Elephas maximus indicus: one gene and its partner. The protein of the gene in region 2 purifies or fractionates together with the protein of the main gene of each other region. This does not show direct contact. Links are inferred from orthologs where the notes say so. Each region holds a gene or a part of one and is shown on either strand. Other genes may lie near its edges. The genes, in order: YWHAE and USP43.

Evidence for each region.
Region 1: the proteins of USP43 (region 2) and YWHAE purify together in Homo sapiens (affinity purification with mass spectrometry; 3 studies listed by BioGRID and IntAct, with this or other methods). This does not show direct contact. The link is inferred for Elephas maximus indicus from reciprocal best matches to the Homo sapiens genes USP43 and YWHAE.

Annotation. Positions count from the first base shown.
Region 1 is NC_064837.1:20,285,083-20,294,157, reverse strand, and holds the start of YWHAE (14-3-3 protein epsilon), read right to left. Parts: upstream 3,926-9,075; 5' UTR 3,807-3,925; coding exon 3,743-3,806; intron 1-3,742. UniProt on the Homo sapiens protein: Adapter protein implicated in the regulation of a large spectrum of both general and specialized signaling pathways. Binds to a large number of partners, usually by recognition of a phosphoserine or phosphothreonine motif.
Region 2 is NC_064837.1:11,020,845-11,030,088, reverse strand, and holds the start of USP43 (ubiquitin carboxyl-terminal hydrolase 43), read left to right. Parts: upstream 1-5,703; 5' UTR 5,704-6,602; coding exon 6,603-7,109; intron 7,110-7,129; exon of another isoform or gene 7,130-7,248; intron 7,249-9,244. Other genes in the region: CFAP52 (cilia- and flagella-associated protein 52), read left to right, coding at 1,999-2,110, 3,176-3,351. UniProt on the Homo sapiens protein: May recognize and hydrolyze the peptide bond at the C-terminal Gly of ubiquitin. Involved in the processing of poly-ubiquitin precursors as well as that of ubiquitinated proteins.

The DNA of each region.
Region 1 (9,075 bases), about 9.3 Mb from region 2:
TAATTTATGCTGACCCCTCTACTCCCCAAAATGGGAAAAGTACTCATTCTTTTTTCCTTTCTAATATTCTCCACTTTTCTTTAACATGGTTCATATACACAAAAGGTAAGACTTGGTTCAGGAATGCTGAGAGATGGATCAACTTGCTTAACATTACTACTACTAAGATAAAAACCTATTCCTTAAGACTGTTGCCATCAAGTGGATTCTGATTCATGGTGACCCCATGTGTTATAGAGTAGAACTGCTCTATTTCTTTTTCTTGGCTGTAATCCTAATGGAAGCAGGCTACCAAGCCTTTAGCCTACCAGTCCAGCATTGCACCAGTAGTTTATTCCTTAAGCTACTGACTTGTTAAAGTGACGGGATGGGGGATTTGATCTCCAAGGTGAACAATCTTATTGGCCCCAAACTTCAATATTTTCTAACCGCAACCCGAAATTGTCCTTTTCCTGTACAAAGCTTAGCTCCTCCTCTAGTATCGTTAAAAAAAAAAATATATATATATATATAAATTGATTCCAATCTCCCAGGATAGGTAAGTAAGGCTAAAAAGGAGTTTAGGCATTAAACTCAACACAGCATGCAAAATACAGAAACGAGGAGAAAAGCACGGACTATTGGGAAACCAACATTTATATCCAAGTACCCAGAAAACAAATCACTCAAATGCATCCTCATCTTTTCCTACTCCCCACACCTGGTAGTAAACTTTGTTTGGTGACCAGGACTATGGGATCATTTTTTGTTACCAGACACAAAACTGAATTCACTGCACTCAATAAAGGAAACCTATGGCGCTACAGGAAACCCTGGTGGTGTAGTGGGGTTAAGTGCTACGGCTGCTAACCAAAGGGTCAACAGTTCGAATCCGCCAGGCGCTCCTTGGAAACTATGGGGCAGTTCTACTCTGTCCTATAGGGTCGCTATGAGTCGGAATCGACTCGATGGCACTGGGTTTGGTTTTTGGTTTTTTAGCCTCTAAAGGGAAAGCCTGGTGGGATAGTGGTTAAGAGCTGCTAACCAAAAGGTCAGCAGTTCAAATCCACCAGGCACTCCTTGGAAACCCTATGGAGCAGTACTACTCTGTACTATAGGATTGCTATGAGTCGAAATCAACTCGACGGCAGCGGGTTTGGTTTTGGTTTTATGACTCTCTAGAGTCCCTGGGTGGCAGAAACACTTAAGCACTATTAGCTGAAGGTTGGCAGTTCAAACCCACCCAGAGGCTCCTTTGAAGACAGGCCCAGCATTCTGCTTCTCAAAAGTCACAGACTTGAAAACCCTATGGATCATTCTACTCTGCACACATGAGGTCCATCATGTGTCAGAACCAACTCTACAACCAACAACAACAACATGCATCTGTGGATACAGGTAAAGACAGGCTTACTCCTGTTGCACCTTCCTCCTCCTCTTCCTTTCCACTGATTCTTAAGCTCCCAATTGTCAGAGTTCTCTATAGTTCTTCTCCACATTGTAGGTCCTATGTCCCTCCCCTTTAGATTCTGAAAGGGAAATCTAACATTTGAACAACGTAATAATGTGGCTCTATCAAAAGCATTCTATGTTGAATAACCAATAAAGATCTTGCTTTTAAATCCTCAGCACTCAACTCCAAAATACAATTATCATTAAACTATGATTTGTTTGGAAACTACAATCATGAGTTTCCCAATCCGTTTCAAAAAAAAAAAAAAAAACCTCCACATTCTTTTTGTTATCACATCAAGTTTACTCACAGCCTAAATCTCTATACAACCGAAAGTATTCAAATATAATGTTAAGTTTCCTCGCAAGGGCACTGGTAGATTAAGGGTGAAACCGATCTGGGGCACAAGGCGGGAAAAAACAACTCCGTTACAAGTACACCTACATTTGTTTGAATTTTAAACACCGAAATAAAGACAAACTGACCTTGAGCTGTACTTCTCCCGTTTTATTACCCCTCCCCCTTCCAAAAGGAACCTCGTTCAATACCAATAACAACTTAAAGATTTACAAGAAAAAATTCAGTGCAGTGTCTTTCCTAAATTTGACTTCTGGAGGCCTTCTCCCTCTAATTTTTAAATCCCTGATTTCTAATTTCTAATGACACAGGGGGACTAGCCCTGACGCTATTCAAGAAACCAAGGGCCCTACCTTACATTTTAAAAAATAACTGGCTTAAGTACTTGAGAAGAAAATTTCGAAAAATCAGTAGCTTAAGTAATTACGAGATGGGTCAAGGCATTTGACTCCAACCACGTCTCACCCCGCCACACGCCCCCCCGCGAAAAAAAAACATTAGAAATAACCTATTTGTGTAAGACCACGTAATGCTGGTTTTTAATACAGTGCAATTTAATGGATGTACGGGTAACAAGTACCTAGGTCCAATGTGTGATATGTGGGTGTATGTGAAGGGGAGGGGTGGGAAGAGGAGTTATGTTGAAAAGGAAACTGCCTGGGACTAACTGAACAGACACAACGGCCATTCGATAAAGTTCTGAAAAATTACTAAAGAACCTTTCAGGACAAAGAAGCAATAAACAGAAGAGGAACTGTTCAAAACTGTGCATAAAACCATTTAATTCATATGCAAAAAAGAAAATACAGACTCTCCTGGAATCGCCTAATTCAAAGACTCAAGCCTCAGTTCTGCGCCTGAATCAGGTTAAGATTTCCAATAAAGTAAAACACGCATTCCAAGCTTGGGGACTCGACCAAAATACGGCTACTACACATCATTTTAGATAATTTCGTTCAACAGAAGATCCTTCCATTTGTCATAACGGTGCGTTCGTGAGAACGGGGAAGCCATCATTTTTACAAACTGGTAAATCGAGGCACAGGCATTACAAAACCTAAAACTGACAGTCATGATCTCCTCGCCTCCTGTTTAATGTCCTATCCACTAAAACCCAGTGTTTCTGGAGCCAAATGATACCAGGAAACTTCGAGCTCTGAGGGATAAGCCTGAAAAAAGAGAGTATGAGTGAGATTTTTCTGGACCTCCCCAGAACAAGAAGGCGAGGCAGATCGTAAAGCCCAAAAAACCCTCCTCCAAGGTGTGCCAGCCGACGGGAAGAAATCCGATCGCAGCATCTCAGCTTGTCTCCGCCCAAAGATGAACTGCAGTGATTCCCATCTCCCCCTACTCTCACTCTCATCCAGGACTACACCCCCCACCACAAGCCCAAGGAAGCCCTCCACTCGCAAAGGTTCTCCTTTGTGAGACTCCACAGCCGCCGCCCCACACTGGGCCTCCGGGGAAAAGCCACCGCCCCCACCCGCCATATTTCCCTCAAAGGCGCCAGCGCTACAGCTCCCAGTCTCCACTCTCCCCCATGTGGCGGGCGTTTCTTCCCCCATCACCCCAACCAATTGTTCTCCACATCCCAAGACTGTCCCAAAAGCTCCCCTGGGGACTGCACGTCCGGAGACAGCACCCGAGATCTCCTCCCCCTCCCCCGCCCCGAGACTCGCCCTCCCCCAGCCGCCATTTTACAATCAACTCCTCCACCCTATCGCCTCGGCCTCCCGGTCCGCGAGTGGCTACAACTGAGGACGCCGAAGGGGTCAAATTCCTGGGCCTGGAGCCTTCCATCGCTCCAGGAGCCCATAGGCCATTTCCTGCTTCCCGAATCCACGTCCCCGGGCCAGGCGCGGAGACGATGCCGCCATTTTGTCTCCTCCCGGCCTCAGTGGGCGGCGGCAGAGGGTCCGAGAATTCCAGCCCTCCGCTGCCCCACCAACTCACCGTCGTATCGCTCAGCCTGCTCAGCCAGCTTCGCCTGGTACACCAGATCCTCCCGATCATCCATAGCGGCGGTGGCTCAAGCAGGGTCTGCGCGACGGATGGAAGCGGATAGCGTCTCCGACTCTCTCAGCCTCTCGCTCCGCGTCCGGGCAGCAAAAATGGCGGCGCCTCAATCCGGGACTTCCGCCTGCGCACGCGGACAACTGCTCAGCTCTATGGTAACCGCTCCCTGGCAACTGGCGCGGGGGGGCGGGTCCTGGAGATCACCGCCAGAAGAGGCTGGAACCCTCGAGACGGCACACCTCTGTCGGCTCAGCAGGCGCTGGAGCGCAGAGGCGGGAACGCTGACTGCTGGGAGGGAGGACGGTCCGCGGGGATGTAGGGAGGCGGGGGTCGGGAGGCGAAATGGGCCTGGACCGCACCTCGAGGGAGCCGAGGGACACGAGCAAGTCGAGGCCTGGACTACGGGCAAAGAAAACGAGAGGCCATAATGGTTTTGATCATTGCAGGCCTTTGTCACCGAAATAAATATGCCCTGTCCTACATTGCCACTCCTACATTGCTCCGTCCCAGAGCTTTTGAGATTCCTTTAATCCCAGTGTAAAGAGTTGGGCCCTGCTGTGTTTGGCCATAGGATCCCTGGTGGCACAGTAGTTCAGAACTTGACTGGTAACAGGAAGATAGGCAGTTTGAATCCACCAGCCGCTCTGTGGGAGAAAATGTGATAGAATCAACTTGACGGCAATGGGTTTGGTTTGGTTGGCAATAGGCGGAAGGGCTTCCAATTCTCACGCTGCTTGGAAGTGCCTAGAGAGTGCATATAGAGCTAGAAAAGGACCAAACACAAAACATTGGAGAATTCCTACATTAAGGTAAGTGAAAGCAGAGAGGAGCCAGCGAAGGAGACTGGGTGGCTCCCTATGCATTCCAAATTATGTCACTTCACACTCTTACCCTAATTTATCAAATTCCAATGATAAAAGACTGAGGCTCAAAAGACTTGGGTTCTAGTACTAATTGTGTTGTTGTTACTAGGTGCCCTGGAGTCCGTTCCTACTCATAGCTACCCTATGCACAACAGAACGAAACACTGCCCGGTCCTGCGCCATTCTTACAATCTTTGTTATGCTTGAGCTCATTGCTGCAGCCACCCTGTCAATCCACCTCGTTGAGGGTCTTCCTCTTTTCTGCTGACCCTGTACTCTGCCAAGCATGATGTCCTTCTCCAGGGACTGATCCCTTCTGACAACATGTCCAAGTATGTAAGATGCAGTCTCGCCATCCTTGCCTCTAAGGAGCATTCTGGCCGCACTTCTTCCAAGACAGGTTTGTTTGTTCTTTTGGCAGTCCATGGTATATTCAATATTCTTCCCCAACACCACAATTCAAAGGCGTCAACTCTTCTTCGGTCTTCCTTATTCATTGTCCAGCTTTCACATGCATATGATGTGATTGAAAATACCATGGCTTGGGTCAGGCATACCTTAGTCTTCAGGGTGACATCTTTGCTCTTCAACACTTTGAAGAGGTCCTTTGCAGGAAATTTACCCAATGCAATGCGTCTTTTGATTTCTTGACTGCTGCTTCTGTGGCTGTTGATTGTGGATCCAAGTAAAATGAAATCCTTGACAACTTCAATCTTTTCTCCGTTTATCATGATGTTGCTCATTGGTCCAGTTGTGAGGATTTTTGTTTTCCTTATGTTGAGGTGTAATCCAAACTGAAGGCTGTGGTCTTTGATTTTCATTAGTAAGTGCATCAAGTCCTCTTCACTTTCAGCAAGCAAGGTTGTGTCATCTGCATAACACAGGTTGTTAATGAGTCTTCCTCCAATCTTGATGCCCCATTCTTCTTCATATAGTCCAGCCTCTCGGATAATTTGCTCAGCATACAGATTGAATAGGTATGGTGAAAGAATACAACTCTGACACACAGCTTTCCTGACTTTAAACCAATCAGTATCCCCTTGTTCTGTCAGAACAACTGCCTCGATCTATGTAGAGGTTCCTGATGAGCACAATTAAGTGTTCTGGAATTCCCATTCTTCGCAGTGTTATCCATAGTTTGTTATGATCCACACAGTTGAATGCCTTTGCATAGTCAATAAAACACAGGTAAACATCCTTCTGGTATTCTCTGCTTTCAGCCAGGATCCATTTGACATCAGCCGTGATATCTCTAGTTCCACGTCCTCTTCTGAAACAGGCCTGAAATTTCTGGCAGTTCCCTGTCAATATACTGCTGCAGCCGTTTTTGAATGATCTTCAGCAAAATTTTGCTTGTGTGTGATATTAATGATATTGTTCTATGATTTCCACATCCGGTTGGATCACCTTTCTTGGGAATAGGCATAAATATGGATCTCTTCCAGTCAGTTGGCCAGGAAGCTGCCTTCCATATTTCTTGGCATAGACGAGTGAGCACCTCCAGCGCTGCATCTGTTTGTTGAAACATCTCAATTGATATTCCATCAATTCCTGGAGCCTTGTTTTTTGCCAGTGCCTTCAGAGCAGCTTGGACATCTTCCTTCAGTACCATCGGTTCCTGATCATATGCCACCTCTTGAAATGGTTGAGTATCGACTAATTCTTTTTGGTCTAATGACTCTGTGTATTCCTTCCATCTTCTTTTGATGCTTCCTGCGTCGTTTAATATTTTCCCCATGGAATCCACTATTGCAACTCGAGGCTTGAATTTTTTCTTCAGTTCTTTCAGCTTGAGAAACGCCAAGCATGTTCTTCCCTTTTGGTTTTCCTTCTCCAGCTCTTTGCAAATGTCGTTATACTACTTCACTTTGTCTTCTTGAGAGGCCCTTTGAAATCTTCTGTTCAGGTCTTTTACTTCATCAATTCTTCCTTTTGCTTTAGTTGCTTGACACTCAAGAGCAAGTTTCAGAGTCTCCTCTGACATCCATCTTGGTCTTTTCTTTCTTTCCTGTCTTTTCAGTGACCTCTTGCTTTCTTCATGGATGATGTCCTTGATGTCATTCCACAACTCGTCTGGTCTTCGGTCACTAGTGTTCAGTGCGTCAAATCTATTCTTGAGATGGTTTCTAAATTCAGGTGGGATATACTCAAGGTCATATTTTGGTTCTTGTGGACTTGCTCTGATTTTCTTCAGTTTCAGCTTGAACTTGCATATGAGCAATTAATGGTCTGTTCCCCAGTTGGCCCCTGGCCTTGTTCTGACTGATGATATTGAACTTTTCCATCGTCTCTTTCCACATATGTAGTCAATTTGATTTCTGTGTGTTCCATCTGGCTAGGTCCATGTGTATAGTCGCTGTTTATGTTGGTGAAAGAAGGTATTTGCAATGAAGTTGTTGGTCTTGCAAAATTCTATCATTCGATCTCCGGCATTGTTTCTATCACCAAGGCCATATTTTCCAACTACTGATCCTTCTTTGTTTCCAACTTTCCCATTGCAATCGCCAGTAATTATCAATGCATCTTAATTGCATGTTCGATCAATTTCAGACTGCAGCAGCTGATAAAAATCTTCTATTTCTTCATTTTGGCCCTACTGGTTGGTGGGTAAATTTGAATAATAGTCGTATTAACTGGTCCTCCTTGTAGGCATATGGATATTATCCTATCACTGACAGCGTTGTACTTTAGGGTAGATCTTGAAACGTTCTTTTTGACGATGAATGCAACACCATTCCTCTTCGAGTTTTCATTCCCAGCATAGTAGACTGTATGATTGTCCAATTCAAAATGGCCAATACCAGTCCATTTCATCTCTCTATGCCTAGGATATCGATGTTCATGCGTTCCATTTCATTTTTGACTATTTCCAATTTTCCTAGATTCATACTTCGTACATTTTAGGTCCTGATTATTAATGGATGTTTGCAGCTGTTTCTTCTCATTTTGAGTTGTGCCACATCAGCAAATGAAAGTCCTGAAAGCTTTACTCCATCCACGTCATTAAGGTTGACTCTACTTTGAGGAGGCAGCTCTTCCCCACTCATCTTTTGAGTGCCTTACAACCTGGGGGGCTCATCTTCCTGCACTATATCAGACAGTGTTCCACTGCTATTCCTGAGGTTTTCACTGGCTAATGCTTTTCAGAAGTAGACTGCCGGGTCCTTCTTCCTAGCCCGTCTTAGTCTGGAAACTCAGCTGAAACCTGTCCTCCATGGGTGACCCTGCTGGTATCTGAATACTGGCGGCATAGCTTCCAGCATCACAGCAACACACAAGCCCCCACAGTACGACAAACTGACAGACACGAGGGGAAGTACTAATTCTAAAAAAAAGAAAAAAATTCTAGGACTGAATAAATGTATGACCTTCAGCAAGTCACTTCACCTCTATGAGCTTCGAATTCATGTGTAAAGTGAAGGAACTGGATCTGCTGACCTTTTCCAGCTCTGTAGAACACGTCCTAGCAATTAAGACTATGGCCTCTGCTCTTGGATTCCTTGGGTTCAAGGGCTACTTATTGCGTGTGCAATGGAGGCAAGTCACTCACCTTCTTTAAGCCTCAGTTTTCTTACCTATAAAATGGGAATGATATTTTCCTCATACAAATGAGAATCAAGTGGGCGGTTACCTGGAAGATGCCTGATACTCAATGAATGTTAACTATGTATTATTAATGTTTCTGTGGCTCAAGTTTGAGTGAGAATCAGGAGACATTAGTGTCATAAAACAAGTGAGAAGAGTTTCAAAAATAATGAGGTGGTCCAAACCAAACCTGTTGCCATCGAGTCAATTCTGAATCATATGGCCTCTATAAGACAGAGTAGAACTGCCCCATAGAGTTTCCAAGGAGCGCCTGGTGGATTCGAACTGCCAACGTTTTGGTTAGCAGCCATAGCACTTAACCACTACCCACCAGGGTTTCCAAGGGTGTGGTGAGTAGTATTAAATTCTGCAGAGACATTAAGTAAGACTGGCACTGAGGAAAAGCCATTAAATATAGCAATTAGGTCATTATTGACCTTCAAGAGCAGTTTTGAAAGGGTGTTGGAAGCTAGACTACATTTGGTTCAGACCCAAAGAAGGTGAGGAAATGAAAGCAGTTAAGTGTAGAGCTCTCTTGAAAAGCATAGCAGTGAAGAGATACCAAAAAAGACGTTGCTGTAGAGTTGATTCTGACTCAAAACCCAAAACCAAACCAGTTGCCGTCCAGTTGATTACGACTCGTAGCGACCGTACAGCATAATTTGGGAGAAAGTGGCTCTGGTGGAGCAATGGTGCAGAGCTCAGCTTCTAACCAAAAGGTCAGTGGTTCGAATCCAGCAGCAGCTCCAAGGGGAAAAGACCTGGAATTTTGCTCCCACAAAGATTACAGCCTAGGAAACCCTATGGGGCAGTTCTCTGTCC
Region 2 (9,244 bases):
AATAAATGCTATGATGGATGTATGGCGCATCAAATCTCTAAATTAGTGTGATGTTTGCCATATTCTAGATTCCCGTTTATGAGACACGACCTCCATGAACGGTCTATTCTCCTCTTATTGGAATTTAGAACTTTCACCAGGACATTCAGTCTGTAGTCTGGAATAAATCGGTAAACCTAGCATTATTCTAGGTGCTGGGGATATGACAATGTCCCTGTTCTTGTGGAGCTTGCTTACTTTATTTATTTCCTCATTTATTTTGGGTGGGAGGGGACGGATTTGGACAATACACATGTAGATGGATAAATGAGTGAACAATGAGTAATAAATGAACAAGACGATATGGATGGTGGAAAGGCTAAAAAGGAAACAGCAGGTGCTGTTGAGTCAAAGTTGACTCATGGCTCCCCAGTGTGTGTCAGAGTAGAACAGTGCTCCGCAGGGTTTTCAGTGGCTGATTTTTAAGTAGATCACAAGGCCTTTCTTCCAAGGTGCCTCTGGGTAGACTCAAACTTCCAACCTTTTGGTTAGCAGCCAAGTGCATTAAGAGTTTGTATCACCTGGGAACTCCAAAAAGGAAAGAGAACAAGTTATATGTGCACTGGCTGAGTGGGGGGAAGCTCCTTTAGCTAGCATGGTCAGGGGTGAAAGCCTCCTTTAAGGAGGTGACATTTGACTGAGGCCTTAGATCCAAGGGAAGAGCATCCCAGACAGAGGAAGCTGGAGAAAGACTGAGCCCCTGATAGGGTTACCGAGGAAAGCGTGGCTTTGACTTCCTTGCCATGGAAGGCAGGTAGTCAAGCCCCAGCTACTTCTGTGGGTGTGACTCCTCAGAAGCATGGATTTTGGTATGTTCTCATATACTTCTTTGTGTTTCTACCATGAAAACAGAACTTTTTATTAAAGCAACTTAAGCATCAGTAGAAATTATAAGGAAAAAATACTTTAAGTGGGATACCCAGTTTGTAGCTAGGCTCAGAAGAGCACAGTTTCTAAGCACAAGGGCTGGAACACAGCATGTTTCCACCAACATGAAGCAAAGATAAGTGGGGTAATACATGCCCAACACTCCTGATTCCTGGTCAACCTGCTCTTCATTTAGAAAGAAGTTTTATTTTTGAGTAGGCTGTATATTCACAAGTTTCAAAGTTCAGCAACAGTATATTCAGAGAAAGAGTTCTTTCCATTCGGCCCTTCTCCCAGCCTCCCTATCCTAGTTTCCCTCCTGGGGAGGGGTCCAATGTTATCACTGTCTTTAAACCCCACCCTGCTGAATGCTTTATTGCTTCAAGGAAGAGGAAAGAGTTGAACTAAGGGTGGGGTGAGGAAAAGGAAGGAGTTCCTGGGGGGTGCAAATGGCGAGCATTCTTGGCTGCTGACCCAAAGGCTGGCCCCCAGAGGCACCTTGAAGAAAGGCCTGGCTATCTACTTCTGAAAAATCAGCCATTAGAAACTCTGTGGAGCACAGTTCTGCTCGGACACATGCAGGGTCGCCATGAGTCAGACAGACTTGATGGCATCGGTGGTGGTGATGGAGGAAGAGGGAGAATCCAGCCACAGTGGGAAGGTGACTTGGTAAGGCCCTGCCTCCTGAAACTCTCCAGACCGCTCATTCCCCAATCAGAAGGAAGGAAATGCTTTGTCCTGGCTCTGTTTCAGAACAAAAGCTGGAACCCCGGGTGCCTTTGCTGTTTTCTTTCTTTTACAGCTTGCTTCAGACTCAATCCCCTTAGTCTTATCAAAAGCACTTTCTGCCCCAATCCAGGTTTATCAGCATATCAACATCTCTTGAAATAGAATGCAAAATATTAAACAAATACAAAAATAGGGTAATGGTTTCTCCTCCCCCTGCCTTTGCCTATTTATAATTTCAGCCCATCTCACCCCTCAGTGTATTTTTACTACCTTCTATATAAAGTCAAGCCATCTTCTGGGAACCTGTGCGTGGACCATCCCACTGAGCTGAATCCTGCCTAATGCTTCTTTCCTGAATTCCAGATTGCTTACTGGGAAGTATTTGATGGGTCGGTAATCAGAGAGCTGGAAGGTTCCTTGTCTGGGTCAATAAATGGGATGGATATCACAGTGGAAGGAGTGCATTTTGTTACAGGTTAGTCTTGGGATCAGAAAAAAACGTCAGGCTTGGCTTCCTTAGATGGGAACATGGGAATCTCAGGTGGGAGACAAGTCGAAGAGACCACAAAAGGGTCTAAAGGGCAACCTGGTTAGACTCGGACTTGAACACTGCAGCTAACATGGCTGGAAAAGAAAAATCCAAAAGTTGCCTTTCAAAGACAGGAATGTTTGCACAGGAACATTAGGGACACACAAAAAGATCAGCCTTCCATTGTGGGCTTACTTTTCTTTGGTGGCCACTGATGATAAAAATGGAACTTTAAATGGCCTGGTCTATTCAGATGCCTTCCTATTTTATTTCCTGCCAAAGCCTTAAATGTGAGTCTTTTTATTCACTTTTATTATGGAATGACACTATGCCCTCCACCAAAATAAATGAATAAATCAGCATTTCAAGGGGTCATTTATCACAAAACATGCCAGTTGGAACAATATCAACGTTGTTTCTTGCCAGGCATTTTGATCCTCCAAGATATTAAGAAGTAAATGCTCCAAATGAGTTAACGCGTCACAAATATATTAACTTAAAGCTATAAAACTAGACAGAGTGTCATTCCAGTTAGGCACACAGTTGTATATGCTTACCTGTACACTTCTAGAAAGAGACCCTGGTGGCACAATGGCCAAATGCTCGGCTGGAACCATGAGGTCGACAGTTCGAACCCTCCAGGCCACGAGGGAGAAAAGACCTAGGGAACCCTGTGGGGCAGCTCTGCTCTGCCATATAGGGTGGGTATGCGTTGCAATCGACTCTACGGCATACAACGACAACAACACTTGGAGAAAAAAGACTGAAAGGAACTAAACCAAGAATGTTATTTATGGTTTTTCTGGGTGGTGAGTTTAAGGGTGATTTTACCCTCTTTGTATTTTTTTCCTCCCAAATTTACTACAACAGGCATAGATTTTTATAATCAGGGGAAAGTGTTCGTCTAAACACGAAGAATGTTTAGAAAACAATCCAGTTATTTGAAATCAGGGCTGTTTCTCTCCATCCAGGCACTACTGCCGCATTATTAGATAACTTTGTCTTTTTCAGGTGGAAATGACCACCTGGTGAAAGTCTGGGATTATAACGAGGGTGAAGTGACTCATGTTGGAGTGGGACATAGTGGCAACATCACACGCATCCGGATAAGCCCAGGCAACCAATACATTGTCAGCGTAAGTGGCGACGGAGCCATCCTGAGGTGGAAGTATCCCTATGCCTCATGAAGCAGCCTGGACCACCTGGAGCCACCGCCTCACCCAGTTGTGTTGAAGGCTGAGCTTAGGTCACTCCAAGACTGGTCTGGATTTCTCATGCCTGTGTTTTTGTTCCTTAGCCCAACTATCTTACGTCTAATTTTCTCCTTTCCCTTGTAGAATGCATTTCACATTCATAAATTTTATATTAAAATTGAAATGTGCTCAAGAATGGTATATCTAGACTAATTAAAACAGCGTTTTTTTCTATTGTGACTAAATCCGAGTTGTTTGTTCCCTGTCATCAGCTCTTTTCTGTGGAAAAGCCCCAGCCCTTCCCCGGATAGCATTGCTATTACCCCCTAAAATTAAGGCGGGCTGAATTTACATTCTTAATCATCACTTCAGTAGTCAAGCTGCATGGGGCAAGACTTGGGTTTGAATCCAGATCTCGGGTAGATTTCTTAACTCTCTGAGCCTCAGTTATTCTTTTGTAAAGTGAGAATAAATTCTTGCTCAAAAGGTTATTGTGAGAATTTAGTGATACAATGTATTAAAGCCACCACTTGTCTGTCAGTTTGTCATACTGTGATGTTGCTATGGTGCTGGAAGCTATGCCACCAGTATTTCAAATACCAGCAGGATTACCCATGGTGAACAGCTTTCAGTAGAACTTCCAGACTAAGACATAGGAAGAAAGGCCTGGAGATCTACTTCGAAAAATTAGCCAGTGAAAACTCTGTGGATCACAGAGTGTTGTCCGAGACTTCAACTCACTTACTTGGGACACGTCATCAGGAGGGATGGGTCACTGGAGGAGGACATCATGTTTGGTAAAGTGGAGGGCAAACGAAGACAAGGGAAACCCTCAATGAGATGGATTGACACCATGGCCACAACAAGGGACTCAAGGATGCCAGTGGTCACAAAGACTGCAGGACTGGGCAATGTTTCATTCTGTTACACACAAGGTCAGCATGAGTCAGGAGCTAACTAAATGGTAACTAACAAAAACAAGAACAACAATAATGTGTTAAAAGCAGCAGTGGAATTCCTGGCACAGAGTATAGACTGAAATGTGAATTATTCTGTGTTGGCAAGTTAAATGTGTTTGTTATTGTCTTAGTTCTCTGGTTGTTGCTATAACAGAAATACCACAGGTGGATGGATTTAACAAACAAATTTATTCTCTGACAATCTAGGAGGCTAGAAGTCTGAATTCAGGATGCCAGCTCCTGGGGAATTCTTTCTGTCTATGTCAGTTCTGGGGGAAAGTCCTTGTCATCAACCTTCCCCTGGTCTAGGAGCTTCTCAGCACAGAGACCCCAGGTCCAAAGGACACGCTTAGCTCCAGACACCTCTTTCTTGGTGCTATGAGCTCCCCAACTCACTGCTCACCTTTTTCTCCTTTTATCTCTTGTAAAATAAAGTGATGCAGGCCACACCCCAAGGAAACTCCTCTTACATCCCATCAGGGCTGTGACCTGAGTAAGGGTGTTGCATCCCACCCTAATGCTCTTTAACACAACCTAATCATGCCTCGCTTACCACAGGCAGAGATTAGGATTCACAACACAGAGGATAACTCCATCAGGTTACAAAATGAAAGACAACCACACAATACTGGGAATCATGGCCTAGCCAAGCTGACACAATTTTAGGGGGACACAATTCAATCTATGACAGTTAGGAATCTTGGGGTGACTACCAAAGATGGAATTTCAGAGATGTTTTGTTGGGGACGGTCATAAAATCTTTCTTCCATGCTTACTACCAGAGAGGTGATGGAAGGGACCGTTTTTTTCCAGACAGGGTAAATGAAGGCAGTTTTCCAGAAACACCTCAGGACTCCACTCACAATCTTTTGTTCTAAGAATATTCTTCAACGAGTACTTCTTTTTTTTTGCATCAGGAAAACTGCCGCTATCCTATTTGAAATACCAAGAAGGATATTTAATAAAGGATGCTCGCTTATTAAATAACAAGCAACATTTCAGGGCGTTGATGTAATATGCATCCTGGTGATCTCTTTTTAAGCGAAAAAGTGATGAGAAATTCATTTTGCAAGACCTTGCCTGATTAATTATAAACCTGACAGAGGATGATGTGAGCAGAGGCCCCGGAGTTACCCAGGGAATCAAGGGCCGGGCAAGGCCAAACTCATTCTGATACGATGACGACTCAGCAAGGATTTCGTGTTAAGGAGTGAACAGGAAAGCGCGTAGGGGGCGCGCCTGAGAGCCGGAAAACTTCCTGGTGAGCTAATACCGAGGTTGTGGGAAGGGCCTGCGCGGGGCAGTTCGCAGCACCGGGCTCCAGTTCCGCTTTCGTGCTCAGCCGGGAGCTGAGCTCCTGCACGCTAAGTTAAACCTCCCTGAGCCCGTTTCTCCACCAATTAGAACGAGGACGATCAAGTCTCACTTGGAAGTTTTAGGGACAATGAGTGATTTGGTCTGTACTTCCAAAAACAAACCACAGCCACCCGGGTGATTCTTCAGTGGGTAACACGCGGTTCCCAGGTCTGATCCCAGGAGGGCGCGGCAGAGCGAAGGCTCTTTTCCAAGGGGGCAGCGTGCCCGCACACACCTGAGTCTGCGGAGGAACTAGCAGTCGCTGAAACGTTCCCCACCCTTCGCAGCTGTGCACCTCTCTCACTGCTCCTGAGGCCGCCCTTTTAAGGCCATCTCCCCTTTTCCTTCATTCACCTGGACGTAATTTCAAGAAGCCTACAAATAGCCCTGGCTTTGCGATTTACTAGGGGCTTTCAAGTTTATCATTCTTCCGTGGTAGGGGAGGAGCCCTGGAGGCGCAGTGGTTAAGAGCTGGCTGCTAAGCAAAAGGTCTGCAGTTCGAATCCACCAACCGCTCCTTGGAAACCCTATGGAGCAGTTGTACTCTGTCCTATAGGATCTCTGAGTCGTAGTCGGCTCCACGGCAACGGGTTTGGTTTTTTTTTTTTCCCCCCCCCGTTTATGGTGGCGGAGAAACCGAGGCAGAGGTTAAACCCAGGTTCGTTGGCTTCTCAGAGGTAAGGAAGGGTTGGGACCGTGACAGCAGCGACTCGCAGTAGGGTGGCCGGGCACAGCCCGGGGCTGGCCTTGGGGCCGGATTCCCCGAGGGGCGGAGCAGCCCTGCCCTTAGCTCCACCCCCGCCCGCTCCCGCACACCTGGCCCGCAGGTAGCCGGCGCCCCGGCCCCTCTCCGAGTCTGTAAGAGCTTGTTAGCCGCTCGCCCGCTTCGGGCCCGTGGGCTCTGCGCGGGGAGCCGCGCCGGCGGGAGCCATGGACCCCGACCCGGGAGCGGAACTGGCCGGCCCGGGGGATGCGAGCGCACAGGGGCCGCCCCTGCCCCGCCGCCGCAGCTCCCTACGCCGCCTGCTCAGCCGCTTCCTGCTGGCTCTGGGCAGCCGCGCCCGCCCGGGGGCTTCGCCGCTCCGGCCCGGATCCTGCAACGGCGAAGGCGAAGGGGGCTTTGCCCACGCCCGGGTCCCGGCTCCGTCCGCGCCCGGGAGCCCCGGGGAGGAGCGCCAGCCCAGACCCCAGCCCCAGCTCCCCGCTGGCGACGGGGCGCGGCCCCCAGGCGCGCAGGGGCTGAAGAACCACGGCAACACCTGTTTCATGAACGCCGTGGTGCAGTGCCTCAGCAACACCGACCTGCTGGCCGAGTTCCTGGCGCTGGGACGCTACCGGGCAGCGCCGGGCCGCGCCGAGGTCACCGAGCAGCTGGCGGCGCTGGTGCGCGCGCTCTGGACGCGCGAATACACGCCCCAACTTTCCGCCGAGTTCAAGGTAGGCAGCGTGCGGCCACAGCCCCGAGCCGGCCCTTCTGGTTTCGCTTTTTGAGAAGTGCATGTTCAGGGAAGGGTTTTCTTGGGCCTTCTTCAGATGGCAAGGACCAGCTCAGCCTCGCTTACCGCCTTTGTCTTGAGTTAGTTTGATGTTTTGTCACTTGCCTGTATTTTCTTTGTGAATTAATTTCTCCCAGGTATTTTGAGCGGCGGCGCGGTGGGGAGGTCCGAGAGGGGGCTCTGAGTTTATCTAACAAATAGATTTGTTGAAGCGTCGAAGGCCTATGGGCCAGACAGTGTTGTAATGCTAGTGACGGAGCTTCCGGTCTGCAGGGGTGGGGAGCGGGGAGTCGTTCATGGAAGGCCTGGGAGGAAGGAGGTGGGTTGAGACCCTAGTGATGAGAAGCACGGAGCCAGGCCAAGATCAGGGAGTAATCCAGGAGAGGCAACAGTACAGGCCAGGAAAGCTGAGTACTGGAAGCAGGAAAGAAAACTCCTGTCTCTGGAGCTAAGGGGGATAAGGAGGGAGGTGAGGGTGGCTGGAGCCAGTACGGTCATGGAGGCGATGGTAAGGAGTTCGAATTTTATTCTAAGTCCAGTGGAAGCTGAGAACCCACTGTGGGCCAGGCACTGTATTGAGTGCCCAGGAGAGGCAGTGGTGCGCCATTTTGGAGATGACATCCTTTGGCCTGATGCCCTACTATGTGTTAGCATGGGGTTGCATCCAGTGACCCCAGGATCACGTCGACCTGCTGCGGATGCTGCAGGGAGGAGGCTTTGTGAATTGTACTACGTCACCCAGGGTAAAACACAGCGTTTGGGTCTGTTTGGAGTAGAGTTCATGATAATGGATGCCCATGGCTGGCTTCCTGCTGGAAAACCACAGCCCGGGCAGAGAGCAGAAGCTGCCCACAGACCAGTGCTTGTTGCTCTTTGGGGGAGGGGGGAACCTGTCAGTGTTCATTCCACAGGCATTAGGGCTCTTGAGTTTCAGCCTGAGAAAGCAGCCCTTGTGACCCAGAAGGAGGCCAGCCCCCACCTTCCTCTCTCCTATGTCTTTAGCGAAGTAGTGTTCTGAGTAGTCAGTGGATCATCAAGCAAATGTCATTAATGCCTCTTTTGGATAACATTTTATTTTATTTTTTTAGTGCGAGAGACAGTATAGTGGTTATAGCTGGAATCCTAGAGCCCTCCTTAGCTTTGTGATCTTGAGGAAGTTACTAAACTTGGCCAGGCCTCAACTTTCCTCATCTGCAAAATTGGGTCATAATGAATGAGTTGTATATGTACAGCACTTAGAACAGTGCCTGGTCCACAGGAAGTGTTTGTTATTGTCACTATGAATATACTTTCTCACCTGCAGAAACCTGGAGGAGGGAGGGAGGTATTCCTTGTGTTGCTTTTTTCTTGCCAGATGCAGTCCCATCCAATTACTGCCTTGATGGGAGAGGCTGGAGTACCTTGAAAAAAAAGTTCCAGGTTATGACCCTTGGTGACTCACCAGGGTTTCTTATCTTCTGCTCTCAAGTCCCTGAGGCCTGGAAGCTCCCTTCAAACCTTGGGGAATTAAGTGTAACTTAGTAGTTAACCTTTTTTTTTTTTAGTAGTTAACATGTTAATGAGGGTGACCTAACCTGGAGTTTCCTGGGGCTTTGGAGTAGCCAGTCCTGGAGGATTCCACAATCCAGGTTTTTAAAAACCTTTCCTATTGAAATCTGGGTGGGTTCTTCATATTTTACAGATGAGGAAACATTAATTTCATTCAACAAATATTTATGGGGTGTCCAGACACTGTGCCCAGAGCATGGAATACTGATGAGTGATAAGTAGAAAACCAGATCCTGGGGCTGCTCTCCGGGAATTTACGATGTAGTGGGAGAGACACCACACCCAAAACCCATTGCCTTAGAGTCCATTTTGACTTCATAGCGACCCTATAGGACAGAGTAGAACTGCCCCATAGTGTTTCCAAGGCTGTAAGTCCTTACGGAAGCAGACTGCCACATCTTTCTCCTGCAGAGTGGCTGGTGGGTTTGAACTTCCAACCTTTTGGTTAGCATCCAAGCACTTAAGCACTGTGCCACCAGGACTCCTCGTGGGAGAGATGAATATTAATTAAATGATCACACAGGCACA